Linked DNA regions of Sus scrofa. The protein of the gene in region 3 interacts with the protein of the main gene of each other region in a pairwise test. Links are inferred from orthologs where the notes say so. Each region holds a gene or a part of one and is shown on either strand. Other genes may lie near its edges.

Region 1 (4,468 bases), on a different chromosome or scaffold from region 3:
GGAGACGATGGGTCGGTTAGGCATTTTACAAGCTATTTTAAGAATTCTTTGGCCTGGCAATAGGTATGCATAAAATGCTCGTTCCTTTCATAACTAAAGGTAGGATCTTAAATGGACGCTTTTCGCACTTGACTTCGCTGTGTGGTCAAGCCAGGAGGTCCTTTTTGGTTTGTTTCTTTCTGGCTACGCCCACAGCAAATGGAAGTTCCTGGGGCCAGGGATGGCCCATACTGCAGACGCTACCTGAGCCAAGGCAAGGACAATGCCAGATTTTTAACCCACTGTGCCACAAGGGAACTCCTAGAATGTCCTTTTTGAATTCTTTTTGCAGTTAGTTTGATTCTCTTCGGATTTTAGTGCTGCTAATCTCTTGTTTTAAAGACGAAGGGATCTGGGAGTTCCCGAAGCTTCAGCTTGAATTCAATCCCTGTCCTAGGAACGTCCATACCAGTGTGGCTGAAAAAGGAAAAAAAGGGGGGGATTTTTATATTCTAAACAAATAAACAGACAAATAAAACATTGAAAACAGTCATCTTGGCAACTTCTGATGAAAAGATAAACCTGATTTTAATTTAGTAACAAACTACTCTGAAGCTTTACTTTATTAGAGGATTCAACTCCTTCTCCCAGTTGCTAACACCCGGATTGCTTCCACTCCCAAAAGGCAAGTCCAAACTACCCTGCTGGAGACCTGCTCATGCGTCAGTGCCCCCGGTGTTCCTCTGCAAAGGAGCCAGGATGATGCCAACATTCCTCTCTTCGCTCTCGGAGCTGTAGAGACCGTGCTCTTCAATGTACTCCTGGACAAGATCCGGGACCAAGTAGCGGATGCTCTGGCCCCTGCGGAGGGCTCGCCGGATCTTCGTGGATGAGATGTCGTTGGTGATCCATTCGTTCACCAGGTGGATGTTGTTCTGATGTTTCCACAGCACGTCGGATTCATAGATGAACTTCTGAGTGTCATTTCCAGCCCGGGTGATACATATGAGCCCATAGTCTCCCACGATTTTGGTGATGTCCTCGCTCTTCCACAGATTGGGGACCCCGAAGGACTCCAACAGATCTGCTCCACACAGCAACTTCACCTTTGGCACACCTGGGACGAAGAGGAAAACAGAGCATGGGGCCCTGCCTTTTCATTAAAAATTTTTTTCTCGGAGTTCCCATTGTGGCTCAGTGGGTTAAGAACCTGGCTAGTATCCATGACGATGTGGGTTTGATCCCTGACCTCACTCAGTGGGTTAAGGACCCAGCCGTGAGCTGGGTGGTGTAGGTCTCAGACGTGGCTTGGATCCTATAAGCCTGTAGCTGTAGCTCCAACTCGACCCCTAGCCTAGGAACTTTCATATGCTGCAGATGCAGCCCTAAAAAAACTTTTTTCTCTCTCGCTTTTTTTCTTTTTAGGGCTGAACCTGTGGCACACAGGGGCCCCCAAGCTAGGGGCTGAATTGGAGCTACATTTGTGGCCTACACCCTACACATTGCAGCACTGGATCCAAGTTGCACCTGTGAGCCGCAGCTTGTGGTAATGCCAGATCCTTAACTCACTGAGCGAGGGTGGGGATCAAACTTGCATCTTCATGAGACAATGTCAAGTCTTTAATCCACTGAGCCACAGCGGGAACACCCAGGCTTTGCCTTTTTAATAACTCCTTGCATCAAAATGAATGTGTATGTGTTTTTCTGGCTATCGGGTTCATAGTTTTTATCAGATTTAGATTCTCAGAAGTGAGCCAGAGGAGTTCCCTGATGGTCTATGGTTAGGAGTCAGCACTTTCCCCGCTGCAGCATGAGTTCTCTCTCTGATCTTGGAGTTGAGATCCCACATCAAGCCAGGGTGCCTCCGACTCTCCCTTCCTCTCATCATGAAACTAAGAGGGGGCATGTTCCAGGCAGCCCCCCACTCAATATGAAAAGAAAATACAAAGTGGGTTTGCTCAGCCCCAGAGTCTTTTTAGGGCCATACCCGCAGCATATAGAAGTCACCAGACTAGGGGTCCAATCAGGGCTGCAGCTGCCAGCCTACACCACAGCCACAGCAACACCAGATCCTTAGGGAGGCCAGGGATCAAACCCACATCCTCATGGATACTAGTTGGTTTCATAACCCACTGAGCCACAAGGGGAACTCCAGCCCTAGAGTCTTATCAGCTCTCGTTGGTAGGTCCTGGTAAAATACACAGACCTTTTGTTTTTGTTTGCTCTGCGGATTTCTTCTGACTAAAATCTTGTCTTTGTTCAGTCCACTTCCTCTTCCGTCCTGGCCTGTTCAGTACAGGTGAATCCTGCTGGTGATCACAGCTACTGGCCTCTAGCTTCTCTTGATGGTGCCTATAAAATAACAAAGGAATAGAACGTTTCTCTTTCTCCCAATGCTCCACTGAGATGTCATCCCTCTGGAGACACCTAAGAGCCTCTCATACAATGTTAAAAGTTGGGAGATGAATTAACCCCCCCCCGCCTTTTTTGGGGGGCAGGGGGGCCGCACTCCTGGCGTGGAAGTTCCCAGGCTAGGGGTTGAATCTGAGCGATAGCTGCTGGCCTACACCACAGCCACAGCTACGTGGGATCTGAGCACATCTGTGACCTACACCACAGCTCAGGGCAATGCTGGATCCTTAACCCACTGAGCAAGGCCAAGGATCGAACCTGCATCCTCATGGATACTAGCTGGGTTCGTTACCACTGAGCTACAACAGGAACTCTGAATTAAACACATTTAACCACAGGTCCACACAATGCCTGTCGAGTCAGAATGATGTCTTCCTGTACTCAGTACTGCTGAGTCAGGATGGGTGCTAGCCAGTACACTGCAGCCCTGGCTATGGCTGCCAGGAATGGAAAGCGAGGTTGGAGTTCCCTTGCGATGCAGTGGGTTAAGGATCCAGCATTGTCACTGCAGCAGCTTGGGCCACCGCTATGGCTTGAATTCGATTCCCAGCCTGGGAATTTCCATGTGCTGCAGGCATGGCCAAAAAAAAAAAAAAAAAAAAAGAATGGAAAGCAAAGAAAATCCTGGGAGCACAGCAAATGGTAGCTATTCTTATTCTAAGCTGTATGTGCCTGTGTCATAATAACAAGAGTTAACACGATTTTTTTTTTTTTGGCTGCACCCAAGGCAGGTGGAAGTTCCTGGGAAGGGATAGAACCATGCCACTGAGCCAATGCTATGACGTCAGATCCTAAACCCGCTGCACCACAAGAAAACACCAACCTTGAAATTTTTTTCTTTTTTGTCTTTTCTAGGGCTGTACCTGCGGCATATGGAGGTTCCCAGGCTAGGGGTCTAATCAGAGCTACAGCTGCCAGCCTACACCATAGCCACAGCAACACCAGATTCGAGCCATGTCTGCGACCTACACAGCAGCTCACGGAAACGCCAGATCCTTAACCCACTGGGCGAGGCCAGGGATCAAACCCTCAACCTCTTGGTTCCTAGTCGGATTCGTTTATGCTGCGCCACGTCGGGAACTCCCAACCTTGATTATTTATTGTGTGTTAACCACTACACTAAACCCTTTGCAAGGATGATTTAATTAAATATTGTCGACATGCCGTAGTCATATTATTATCATCCCCACAATGGAGAGGAAGTGAAGGCTTAGAGTTGGCAACTCCAGCTCCTGGCAGAGTCTCTGGGACACAGGAGGCATTCAGTAACAAAGTGGCTGAGTGAATGTTTTGGTTACTATGAAGCAACTATACTACTGCCAGCATTACATCAGAATTGCCATCCCTATTGAGAGAGGAGGACACTGACCAATCCGCCCAAGGTCATTTAGCTTGTAAGTGGCCAAGCCAGGATGTGAACCACATCAGTCTGGTTCCAGCGCCCATTCCCTTGACCACTAAAGAGTGTGGCCTGGCCTAGTAATGAAGACCCCAATGCCAAGGATTAGGTCCTAGAGGGTGACAAGTGCCCAAAGCCTAAAAGGAAGAGACCACAGGGACCACAGGCAGGGTTTGTACAGTGTCCTCTGGGCGGGCAGCAAGATGTCCATGGCTTTACAACTATGCAGGTCCTCACGGAACATGAGCCACACCTGTAGGCGCCAACTCTGGGTCCTTAGTGCTTATAATCCCTTTGCCCCCCCCCCCTTTTTTTGGCCAAATCCCGAGGCATGTGAAGTTCCTGGGCTGGGAATTTGAACCTGCACCACCGCAGTGACCTGAGCTACAGCAGTGACAATGCCAGATCCTTAACCTGATGAGCCACACCCTCTCTTGAATCGCTGAGTTGAACACATAATGGACAGTAAAGCTGCTATGGAGCCAGAGAAGGCGGGGCAAGGTGGGGGACCCTGGAGTCTGGTCTCTGATGGGAGAACTTCTGGGCGACAAACAGAGGACACTGTCTTCTCCCAAGTCACCGTGCTAGGTGTTGGCTGCTGGCTGTGTTCAATCGCACCCTAAACACATTTCCCAGAGGTCCTCAGAGGCAGGTTCCGGGGGTCACTGAGATTCCGCT
Region 2 (5,164 bases), on a different chromosome or scaffold from region 3:
TGATGGTTAAGTTTTTACCATGAATGGATCATGGTGTAAAACTTGAACCCACAAATTTTTAACATCACTAAAAATGGGACAACAATGTTAGGTTACCTGATGTGATACAATACAAAATACATAACATTATCTATGAAATATTTTCACCTAAATAAATAGACTCTGAATCGAATTAAGCGTCTAGATCGGCACAGCCCCAGACAATAAGCCTGCTAGCCACATGTGGCTATGGAGCATCTTAAATATACTGAATCTGAATTCAGATAAATTTTAGTGAAATATACACACTGACTTCAAAGACTTTGTATGAAAAAAGAATGTAAAGAATTCCAATCATATTTTTATATGATTATGGGATAGTTACATAAAATACATTATTAAAATGTTTCACCCAATTCTTTTACTATGAACATTAGTTCAACAAATTAAATGTTATGATAAAAAGTTTGAGACAAGAGAGGAAGAAATCTGAATATGGACTGAATATTAGATGGTATTAAATAATCACTATGAATTTTGTGTGTGATAAGGGCATGTGGTTTGCATTTTGTTTAAAAGTCCTTATATACTAGGTGTGTACTGAAGTTTTCAAATTACTCTGGCAGGGAGTTCCCATTGTGGCACAGCAGAAAGGAATCTGACTAGTATCCATGAGGATGCGGGTTCAATCCCTGGCCTTGCTCAGTGGGTCAGGGATCTAGCATTGCTGTGAGCTGTAATTTGAGTCACAGTTGCACCTCAGATCCTGAATTGCTGTGGCTGTGGTATAGGAGGGCATCTATAACTCCAATTAGACTTCCAGCCTGGGAACTTCCGTATGTTGTGGGTGCGGCCCTAAAAAGCAAAAAGCAAACAAAATTTTCTGTACAATGTGATCTGTTGTAAAAATTTATTAAAGATTATAATCATTACGGAATGCTGAAGTTTTAAGTTGTATTAGAGAGAAATACCAACATGGAAACACTTAAAGGGGTAAAAAACTCACTCCAACCTGAAGAGAAAAAGGCGAGTAGAAAATGAAGTTGGACTTTAAATGTGCTCTACATTTACATTTTAAAAGTGAATAAATACAAACTCCTGAAAATCCTGAAAACAAAATGAAAATTTAAGCCACTGCCAGAATATTCAAACAAAATTTAAGACCTCATTTTAATTATGAATTTCTACAAACCATAAATCTGAAGTAAACAATTCGTTAAATTGGCAAATGATGTATTATCAACAGTGGAAATAGCCAGTCTATGGTACTCAGACACCTGTTTTTTTCATAAAAATTAAAAAGAAACTGACTTGCTTTACAAACCCGTTAGATTCTCTGATATTCATACCCAAGAAAATACAAACTATATCAAAATTACTATTACTGACATGAAATCCTAAAAGCTGACAAGCAATTACAAAGCTATTCAAGGAGATGAAGTTCTACAATCATCAGGAACATACTTATGTGTTCTAATAGTCTTAATATATGAGATTTAAAGTTTAGAATATAAACTATCTTTGAGCATATCTCTTTTCTCAAAACTTGAACATGCTAGATCAGAGCTGACACCTATTAGGGGAACTAATATCTAAAACAACATAATCAGAGTTTATGGTACTAAAACAGATTTAACAGTAACTTTTACTGAATGTAACATGCTCAATTAGAAGCTTCTTATGAATCATCCTCTCAATTTACTTAAATTCTTTAGACCACCACAGTGTCACTGCCTCAGGTAAGAAATAATAAACGGAGGTACTACTATCTTTGTTTTAACAAATGAGAAAAATTAAGGCTCAGATAACTACATATGCTACCCAACACACATAGTTGTGAGGCTCCAAAGTGGAGCCAAACAATTGGACTCCAGAGCACATGACTGAGCACTGTCTTCACCCATTCCACTGTGACTGGAAGGACAGCAATTTAGGTAGCAATAGTATCTTATGAAATATCATTCCCATCTCCCCCTCCCCCAAACTCAAAACTACCAACTAAGGGTTAATTGGTCTCTACCACACAAAATAACCCAATAAGTTAAGTCTATTATAAACCTAACATTTTGATTAAGTTGATGCCAGTCGTAACATGCAGAACTAATACCAGATTGTTGTTAGCTTTATGGAGAAAGAGGAAGAGAAAGAGAGGACCGAACAGAAAGACTATAATCAATGAAAAATACATTCAACCCAGACCTTACCTAAAACCTGGCCAGCAATCATTCGGCCATCCTCTCCTGCAACAGCAGCTCGAGCATTTCTCTCATTAACGTACTGAACGAAGGCAAAGCCCTTATGAACAGAGCAACCCACGATTTTGCCATATTTTGAGAAGATTGCCTCCACATCAGATTTCTTGACCACAAGAGTATTGAGATTCCCAATGAATACACGGGAATTCATGGAGCGAGGATCTGTCTTGTTGGTAACGTTGCTGGCCATTGTCTTTGATGATAAGGTAATTCACAAAGCCGAAAAACTGAAAGGAAAAAAGAAATGCATTCAGGTGAAAAGATGCTAAAAACAAAATAATTCTTGATTAAAAACTTACTCTGAACCATCATGACTACCTAAATATAAGTCAACTAAAAGGATCTCACAGCAGCAAGTGTATTACTATTCAAAGACTATGGCACCTGAATACATCCTTATAGAATTTCACTCTTCTTTAGTATATTCTTGCTAGACTATCACTTCAAGGGGGCTGGGAAAGAGGGAATCTTCTTCACAGACTAGGGGCAACACGATCTTCTTGGACATTATTAATTCCAAGTGATATCCCTGTTTTAAAGTCCTCAAGCAAATTAGAACCCCATAAACTCTAAATTTCTCCTTGTTTTTCACCTTCCGAGTCACACTAACTTAACCATTCCTTGCCAACAATAACTCTACTTCTTGCGCACTGCTTTTACTAAAATGAGCTCATTCATTCCCCCAAATTCTGCCCACAAACTATCTTGAGCTAGATGAATGTGGACAAATGACACTCTACCCTTTACATATAATTAACTTTATTATACAAAAGCATTAAATAGAAGCAATTCACTCACTCTGGAATTAATCTATTTCCAGGTACTTCAACTAATTATAATATGCCATAGATATATATCTTAAGTATCAATACAACCTTTTTACAGAAAGCAATGACTCTTTACTTTTTGTGTGAGAATATATTACAAACTACAACCAAGATATTTAATAATACTGGATGGTGATGATGATAAAACTAGCAAGTAGAACACTGCATGAATCAAAGGACCCAGAGAACTACGGAAAAAAATACAACTTTCCTCACACTGTTTCAAAACAAAAATTACCTTTATGTCTGTCTGTCATGGAGGCAGAATCCTATTATAATTACCCAGAGATTCATGCTATCATTTTAGGTCTTCCAAAGTGAAATATTTTTTGGAATTCCCATTGTAGCTCAGTGGATTAAGAACCTGACACTGTGTCTGTGAGGATGTGAGTTTGATCCCTGGCCTTGGGTTAAAGGATCTGGTGTTGCCACAAGCTGCAGCTCTGATTCAAACCCTAGCCCAGGAACTTCCATATGCTACAGGTGCGGCGGCTATAAAAAGAAAAAAAAAGATTTTTTGGGGGGTCGCATCCACACCAGAGTAGCAACCCAAGCTGCTGCAGTGACAACACTGGACAATGGATCCTCAACCTGCTGAGTCACAAGAGAACTCCAAAGTAAAGATGTTTTGACATTCTTTAGCCATTTTTTTGGCTATGTCCCAGGCATGCCCAGGTCCCAGGCTAGTAGCACTGGCAATGCCAAATCCTTAGCTATTAGGCCACCAGGCAACTCCAAAATTCTTTAGCTTTTAATCAGTCCACTGCTCCTCCCCTCTCCAACCAAAGTTAAACCTGGTTTAAATGGATGCACCTTAGATTCTGAGTTAACATACTTAAGATTATTTCTCATGTAGCCCTTTGAAAGGTACCGAAGAATCTCAAAAAAATACCAATGTCCAATATCTATTATTTTTCCAATCCTCAAGAGAATGACAAACTAGTTTTCATGGGTTACATAAAAATGTCTTATACACACATAGAAAAAAAAAATTCAACATTTATATATGATCACTACCATTCTGACCCTGAAAACAACTGGTCATTTCACAAGCATACAGGTTTTAAAGCTGTAACAACAGCCTTTACCTCCTATCCTTTCTGAAATTCAAAAAACAGCTCATCTTTATTTTGGTTTCTAAGTTATATCTTTATAAATAGTCTTTTTGGACTAAGCAATAAAAAATTAACCACAGTGGCTACTGAGAATCAACAACCTTTCAATTAAGTGGGAGTGCCAGAAAGCCTTAGAACACCAAAGAATCAAAATCGAAACCTACTAAAAGGTCTAACTGGCTGCAAATATTTTTGCTTAGCTATTAGGGTTTACTATTATTATAAGTGGAAATATAAACTATTTTTCAGCAAATGTTTTTCACTAACAATAAATATATTAATAGCAAATACTGGAAAAATTCTCTCTAGGTTTCAACAAAAACAAAACTTGGTGTCAAGGCATCCCCATCAACTCCAAATGCAAGCTAACATGCATGGTATCTATTACTGTGGGAGTCTAAAAGACCCAGAAATAGAAGAATCCCAAAATATCCAGCTAGTATTTACTGGAAAGGGAAGTGATGTTAGAATAGCAGTTCCAACAGGGAAGGTTTTGTCTGCTCCAAAATGGATAAGTACAAGGTACTGCAGTAAAACAGTCTCAAGATGCTAGAGCAGTTTAGTATCTGTAAAATTTCAAAGCGAACTCAGCAGCCCCATGTACACCATTCCTTTCTCAATCCCTTTCTTCCCTCTAAAACACCTAATTTTAAAGTAAAATCCTTTTAAAATGTACTAAATGATATCACCTAAACATTTACCCCTAGATAGTATAGTCTTATTCATTAAAACAAACTTGAGGAATTTCCCATTGTGGCTCAGTGGTAACAAACCCAACTAATATCTGTGAAGATGAGGGTCTGATCCCTGGTCTTGCTCTGTGGGTTAAGATCCCGTGTTACCACAAGCTTTGGTGTAGGTTGCAGATGCATGGATCTAGTGTGGCTGCGGAGTAGGCCAGCAGCAGCAGCTCTGATTCAACCCCTAGCCCAGGAACTTCCATATGCCACAGATGTGGCCATTAACTAATAATTAAGAATCCCACTGC
Region 3 (5,822 bases):
ACCAAGGGACTTCCTTGGGGGGAAAGAGAGGGGAAATGGGGAGTCCAGCAAAGGTAGGCGGGGAAGGCGGACAGGCTGCAGATCTAGTCCGGTCACTTCTCTCCTCCCTCCACTTAATGAGAGCATTTGTACAGAAAAAGCCGAGAAAATGACCAGCGCTCCAAACAAGGTGCCCCGAATTTCTAGGAGGAACACCTGTAACAGGGTTCATTAGGAACTTGGCTGTGAGAGGTGCTTTAAACAAGCATTAGCCAACATATTCTCTATTTCTGTAAACAAACAAGATGAGCACTATTTGTGGAAGGAACTTTAAAAGCCTGTTATCTACAAAGAGCAAAATGTACTTTTGTCTGTGAACGAACTGGGCTAAGTTCGCTTACCACTACACCCACTGAGAGAGGTAAGTGGAAATTCAGTGCATCGTACAACTGACTTGAAGGAACTCTCTCATTTTTCTGAATACAGTAGCCCTTACAGTCATAAATTACTTTCACCTTGAGTCTTCAGCCCAAATCCCCACCTCTGCCACCACAGCTTTTACCTTCTGTGGGGGAAACAGAGCAGTGAAGACTTGGCTCATCACTTCTCCGCTCATCAAAAAAGCAGAGGCTTACAGTACGTTAAAAATGCAGTTGGTTTCCTGGGGCGCTGGAGTCAATACTCCACCCTCCCCCTGCCACTTCTGCTAATGGCACAGCTACCTCTTCCGAGCAGCAAGTGGCTTTCGCAACCCAGACGGCACAGACAGGGATGAAATTAAAAAACAGAACCTACAGGACTTGAATCCCACTCCTTCCCGACTAAACTTTCCCAGGTGATGCCAACGTGCAGCCTTGAAACCACTTTCAGCCTTGAAGTTTGGGAGGAATGAATTGCACTTGTAGCTCCAGGAAAAAATGAAGATGAAATTTAAGATTTTTATCCCATCTTCCTGGCCAGTAAGACTTATGGAGACACTGGCTGAGGGTTTCTGGGAAATTTTACTCGTTCTCCAGTGAAAACTTCTGAAAAAATTGATAGGTGTGAAATGGATGTGAAGTCTGAAAGCGCCATTGGCCATTTTTACCAACCAAAAGGGGAAGCAGTTTAGAACAAAGCAGAATCAATCAGTGCTCGCTTCGGCAGCACATATACTAAAATGGGAAAGATACAGAGATTAGCATGGCCCCTGCGCAAGGATGACACGCAAATTCGTGAAGCGTTCCATAAAAAAAAAACAAAGCAGAATCAAAAGTGGGCAGGAAGTTATCAAGCCCATATCCTTGATGACATGACAAAATGATGTCTGCAACCAGAACATCTTTGGTAGTCATGGTTCAGTTCCCCCTCATCTATAACCTTTAGGAGCCCCAAACTAGAAAGCAACACATAGGAAATGCAAAGTAAAGAAAAGGGTGGAATTTAATCTTTATTTACAGGACACTGCAAGATATGAAATTCCACATAGAAATAAGAACCCTACTGAGAGTAGAAGCTTCATACAGTATGTACAGTTTGGAACTGTTCAAGTATAGTTTCAGTTGTAAAAAGTGCTACAATAACAAACCACATTTAAAAAGAGCTCTTAGTAGAGAAACAGTAAGACCAACTTTTATCAAACATAGTACGCAACAAACAACTTTATGCCTCAGATGTGCAGTCTAAAAGTTGAAGGTCCCAGTAGCGCTGTCCTGAACTTGGAATGTATATCCTTCAGAGGTAGTTTCTGGCACAACATTTTGATCTTCCTCTTCCTGGAGTATTTAAAAACAAAACAATATAAAATGTTTCTAAGAGGCAGATGCCTACAAGTTTGTATTTACTCTTTTTTCTTCTTTTATCTCTAAGCTGAAAACGAAAACCAGTTTACCCATGTCTCCCACCCCCACTTTTGGCAACCACAAATCTGTTCTTGTGTGCATGTTTCTTTTTGGCCATGGCAATGACTGCAGCATTTGGAAGTTCCTGGGCCAGGGATAGAACCTGCACCACAGAAGCACCAATAGAGGATCCTTAACCTGCTTAGCCACAGGGGAACTCCGTGTGTGTGTTTTTAACATCACACATATAAGAGAGATCACCTGGTGGTATTTGTCTAACTCATTTCACTTAGCATAAATACCTACTAGGTATTCACTCCTAAGGTCCTCATTTGCATATTTCACCTTTAATCCTGCATTGTATCTTTTTTTTTTTCCGTCTCTTGTCTTTTTAGGGCTGCACCCTCGGCATATGGAGGTTCCCAGGCTAGAGGTCTAATCGGAGTTGTTGCCAGCAGCCTACGCCAGAGCCATAGCAATGTCAGATCTGAGCTGCGTCTCTGACCTACACCACAGCTCACGGCAACACCAGATCCTTAACCCACTGGGTGAGGTCAGGGATTGAATCTGAAACCTCATGGTTCCTAGTCGGATTCATTTCCACTGCACCAAGATGGGAACTCCCCCCTTTGTTTTGTCTTTTGTAATCCTGCGCCATATTTTCAATATCTGAAAGAGTGGATGGAAAGCTCTGAAACTTGCCAACTCATGAGTGCCTGGGAGGGAAGTTATGAACAGGTTAAGAAATGCTACTACGGCAACAGAAAAGCAGAGATTTTCTTAACCTGTCACTTCAGAAGGCAGCTTATTAGGCCAGAGGCTCACTTCTCTAACGTCTATACAAACTCACTCTCAAGATAGTCTAAGCTCTCTAAGGCTATTCATTTGAAAGTAAATGGGTGACTTTTTAATACCTCAGTTTAAAAAGATGGTATTATCTTCAAGTCAAACATGAGATGAACAAATATGTATGTTATACCCCACTTGAGACTGATATGATATACTGCTATACTGAACAGCGCTCATCTAAAAAGTATGAGGAAAAATATCTTATGGGCTTAACCTTAAATGTGTATTTTTCCAGTTCTTATTGACATTGCTACTCACCTCCACAGAGAAATACTTCTCAATCAAGTTTAATGAAGCTTTGTACACAGACTCATTTTCATGGTTTTGGAGAGCTTCAATTTTGTCCAGACCTCCACATTCTTCAATCATTATACTAAGTTTCTCAGTTTCACCTAGTTTCTCAGCAGCCTGCAAAAAATTCCAAGTTTAGTAGCCTACACTTTGAAAGACCTTTTTTTTTTTTTTTTTTTTTTTTTTTTTTGGTCTTTTTGTCTTTATAAGGCCGCAACTGCAGCACATGGAGGTTCCCAGGCTAGGGGTCTAATGGAGCTGTAGCCGCCGGCCTACACCACAGCCACAGCAACACCAGATCCTTAACCCACTGAGCAAGGCCAGGGATCGAACCCCAAACCTCATGATTCCTAGTTGGATTCATTTCCACTGTGCCATGACGGGAACTCCCTGAAAGTTCTATTTTAATGAAGAAAACAATTTCTATGTTTTAGTGTCCATGTGTATCAGACAGAAATAAACACGTGAGTTTATTTAACAACCCTATGAGAGAGAACTATCTGCATTTTACCTATGTTTTATATTTTTGAAAAATTCAAGCGAATCAGATTTTGCTTCTTAGCAACTACTTCTGTAGCTTTCAGCCACAAAGATCTTAGTATAGTTCTTAACCTTTTCTGTACATCAAAATCACCCAGGCAACTTTAAAAATGACACTATATCCAGGTTCAGTTGGCCTGTGATGGGAATAGGAAATTACTGTTTTGTAAAGACTCCAGATAATCCCAAGGTGTATGTAGTAAGAGTGGAGAATCACTGTCCAAGGGTAAAGATGGCCTGTGGTTTGTAAAAACAAATTCCTCTGACTGGATCATTTGTTGATACCAAGAGAATGGTACGGTGGTCAGATACTTTTCAAAGTCCTCAACTTTTAGGACATACATAAATATTTACAAGTAAAATAACGTATTTGCTTCAAAATAAAAACTTAAGGTAAGTGTGAGTAGGAAAAGAAGCCAAATGTTGCCGACTTATTTATGTTAGGTAATCATATTCTAAACTCAACTTTGATATGTGAAAATTTCCATAATCAAAGTTGTTGAGTAAGACCTAACCACCATTAAATACTGACAAAGTGCCATGTGCCAGCACATGTGGATCACTCAGGGCTTGAAACCAGAAGAAAAATATAACTGACCGGGTCGTTCGAATTTTTTTTTTTCTTTTTGCCTTTTCTAGGGCTGCACCTGCAGCATATGGAGATTCCCAGGCTAGGGGTCTAATAGGAGCTGTAGCCGCCAGCCTACACCAGAGCCACAGCAACGCAGGATCCGAGCCGCGTCTGTGACCTACACCACAGTTCATGGCAACGATGGATCCTTAGCCCACTGAGCGAGCCAAGGATCAAACCCGCAACCTCGTGGTTCCCAGTTGGATTCGTTAACCACCAAGCCACGACAGGAACTCCTGGTTGGTCAAATTTAATTTCATACTGAATTACAGTATGAAATTGGGGAATCAGGAGTTCCTGTCATGGCACAGCAGAAAACAAATCTGACTAGGAACCATAAGGTTTTGGGTTCAATCCCTGGCCTCACTCAGTGGGTTAAAGATCTGGCGTTGCTGTGAGCTGTGTTGTAGGTCGCAGACGCAGCTTGGATCTGATGTTGCTGTGGCTCTGGTGTAGGCCAGTGGCTACAGCTCTGATTCGACCCCCAGCGTGGCAACCTCCATATGCTGCCAGTGCGGCCCTAAAAAGACAAAAGACCAAAAAAAAAAACCAAAAAACAAAAACTGGGGGATTAAGACATCTTGACAAAATAAACAGATATGAATCGTGTCCACATATGTACCTGACCTCAATTCAGTCACATCATGCATTTGTCATTCCTTTTATATCTCTTATAATCCTTGCCAGGTCTTATTTTATCAAGAGTGTGGCTCATATGAAGAGGCTTTCTGATTCTGTGGCCCACTCAGGAAATTTAGCTGCCTCCACCCCCACCTTGCCATCATCTAAATAGTAAACCAGGGAATTCCCACCATGGCTCAGCGGAAACGAACCTGATTAACATCCATGAGGACAAAGGTTTGATCCCTGGCCTCGCTCAGTGGATTAAGGATCTGGCGTTGCCATGAGCTGTGATGGAGGCTGGCAGCTACAGCTCCAATTCGACCCCTAGCCTAAGAACCTCCATATGCCACCGGTGCGGCCCTAAAAAAAGACCAAAAAACAAAAAAAACCCACCAAACCTCTAGTGTCATCACTTTTGAGGCTAAGCTTTGATCCCTGACCTGTGAATTTCTGCATGCCAAGGGTGTGGCCAAAAAAAAAAAAAAGGCAACTTACCTGAAAGATATTAGAAATGGCATCCAGAATAACCAGGATAATTTTGGTATCTTTTGCAGTTAAGAGGTTCATCAATGGTTCTATTATGCCACAGTGGACAAGGTACACGATCTGTTCAACTGTTCCACCACTTGTGTAATTGGTCACAGCCCATACAGCTTCCTTTTGTGTCTTAAAGTCTGCCTAATAAACACAAGAAAACAGGTGTATTTCAGAATGGGCATAAAAATAAGATTCCAAAAGTACTCTTTTAGAAAAATAGTGACTAAAACTACCATCTGACTATTATTTAGCAAAAGACTATAAGTAGGACCTAACATTAGTACATTAAGAACCTTATGAAGTACAGTTCTACCAAGTGGCCTCTGGAAGCAATCCTTTATGAAGGCCTAAGGCTTCTTACCTTCGAGAGAACGCCAACAAGGAATGGGACCAATCCATGATTTACAACTTGCTGTATCTGGTCCTGGCGACCAGCTGTAATATTTGACATTGTCCACGTAGCCTCCTTCTGAATATTTGTTTTGGAGTTTGTTAGCAGGCTGGGAAAGACGGCGAGTGCTCCTGCATCTATGACAACCTGCGTCTGTTCA

Evidence for each region.
Region 1: the proteins of KPNA2 (region 3) and NMNAT1 interact in a two-hybrid assay, tested with the Homo sapiens proteins (3 studies listed by BioGRID and IntAct). The two-hybrid records come from large-scale screens. The link is inferred for Sus scrofa from reciprocal best matches to the Homo sapiens genes KPNA2 and NMNAT1.
Region 2: the proteins of KPNA2 (region 3) and HNRNPC interact in binary tests that used the Homo sapiens proteins (3 or more experiments, as listed by UniProt). The link is inferred for Sus scrofa from reciprocal best matches to the Homo sapiens genes KPNA2 and HNRNPC.

Annotation. Positions count from the first base shown.
Region 1 is NC_010448.4:70,301,699-70,306,166, reverse strand, and holds part of NMNAT1 (nicotinamide/nicotinic acid mononucleotide adenylyltransferase 1), read right to left. Parts: intron 2,332-4,468; coding exon 2,186-2,331; intron 1,097-2,185; coding exon 696-1,096; 3' UTR 692-695; exon of another isoform or gene 457-691; 3' UTR 1-456.
Region 2 is NC_010449.5:77,948,048-77,953,211, reverse strand, and holds part of HNRNPC (heterogeneous nuclear ribonucleoproteins C1/C2), read right to left. Parts: intron 2,462-5,164; 5' UTR 2,425-2,461; coding exon 2,184-2,424; intron 1-2,183. UniProt on the Homo sapiens protein: Binds pre-mRNA and nucleates the assembly of 40S hnRNP particles. Interacts with poly-U tracts in the 3'-UTR or 5'-UTR of mRNA and modulates the stability and the level of translation of bound mRNA molecules. Single HNRNPC tetramers bind 230-240 nucleotides.
Region 3 is NC_010454.4:14,292,311-14,298,132, reverse strand, and holds the end of KPNA2 (importin subunit alpha-1), read right to left. Parts: coding exon 5,633-5,822; intron 5,413-5,632; coding exon 5,230-5,412; intron 3,057-5,229; coding exon 2,907-3,056; intron 1,734-2,906; coding exon 1,641-1,733; 3' UTR 1,384-1,640; downstream 1-1,383.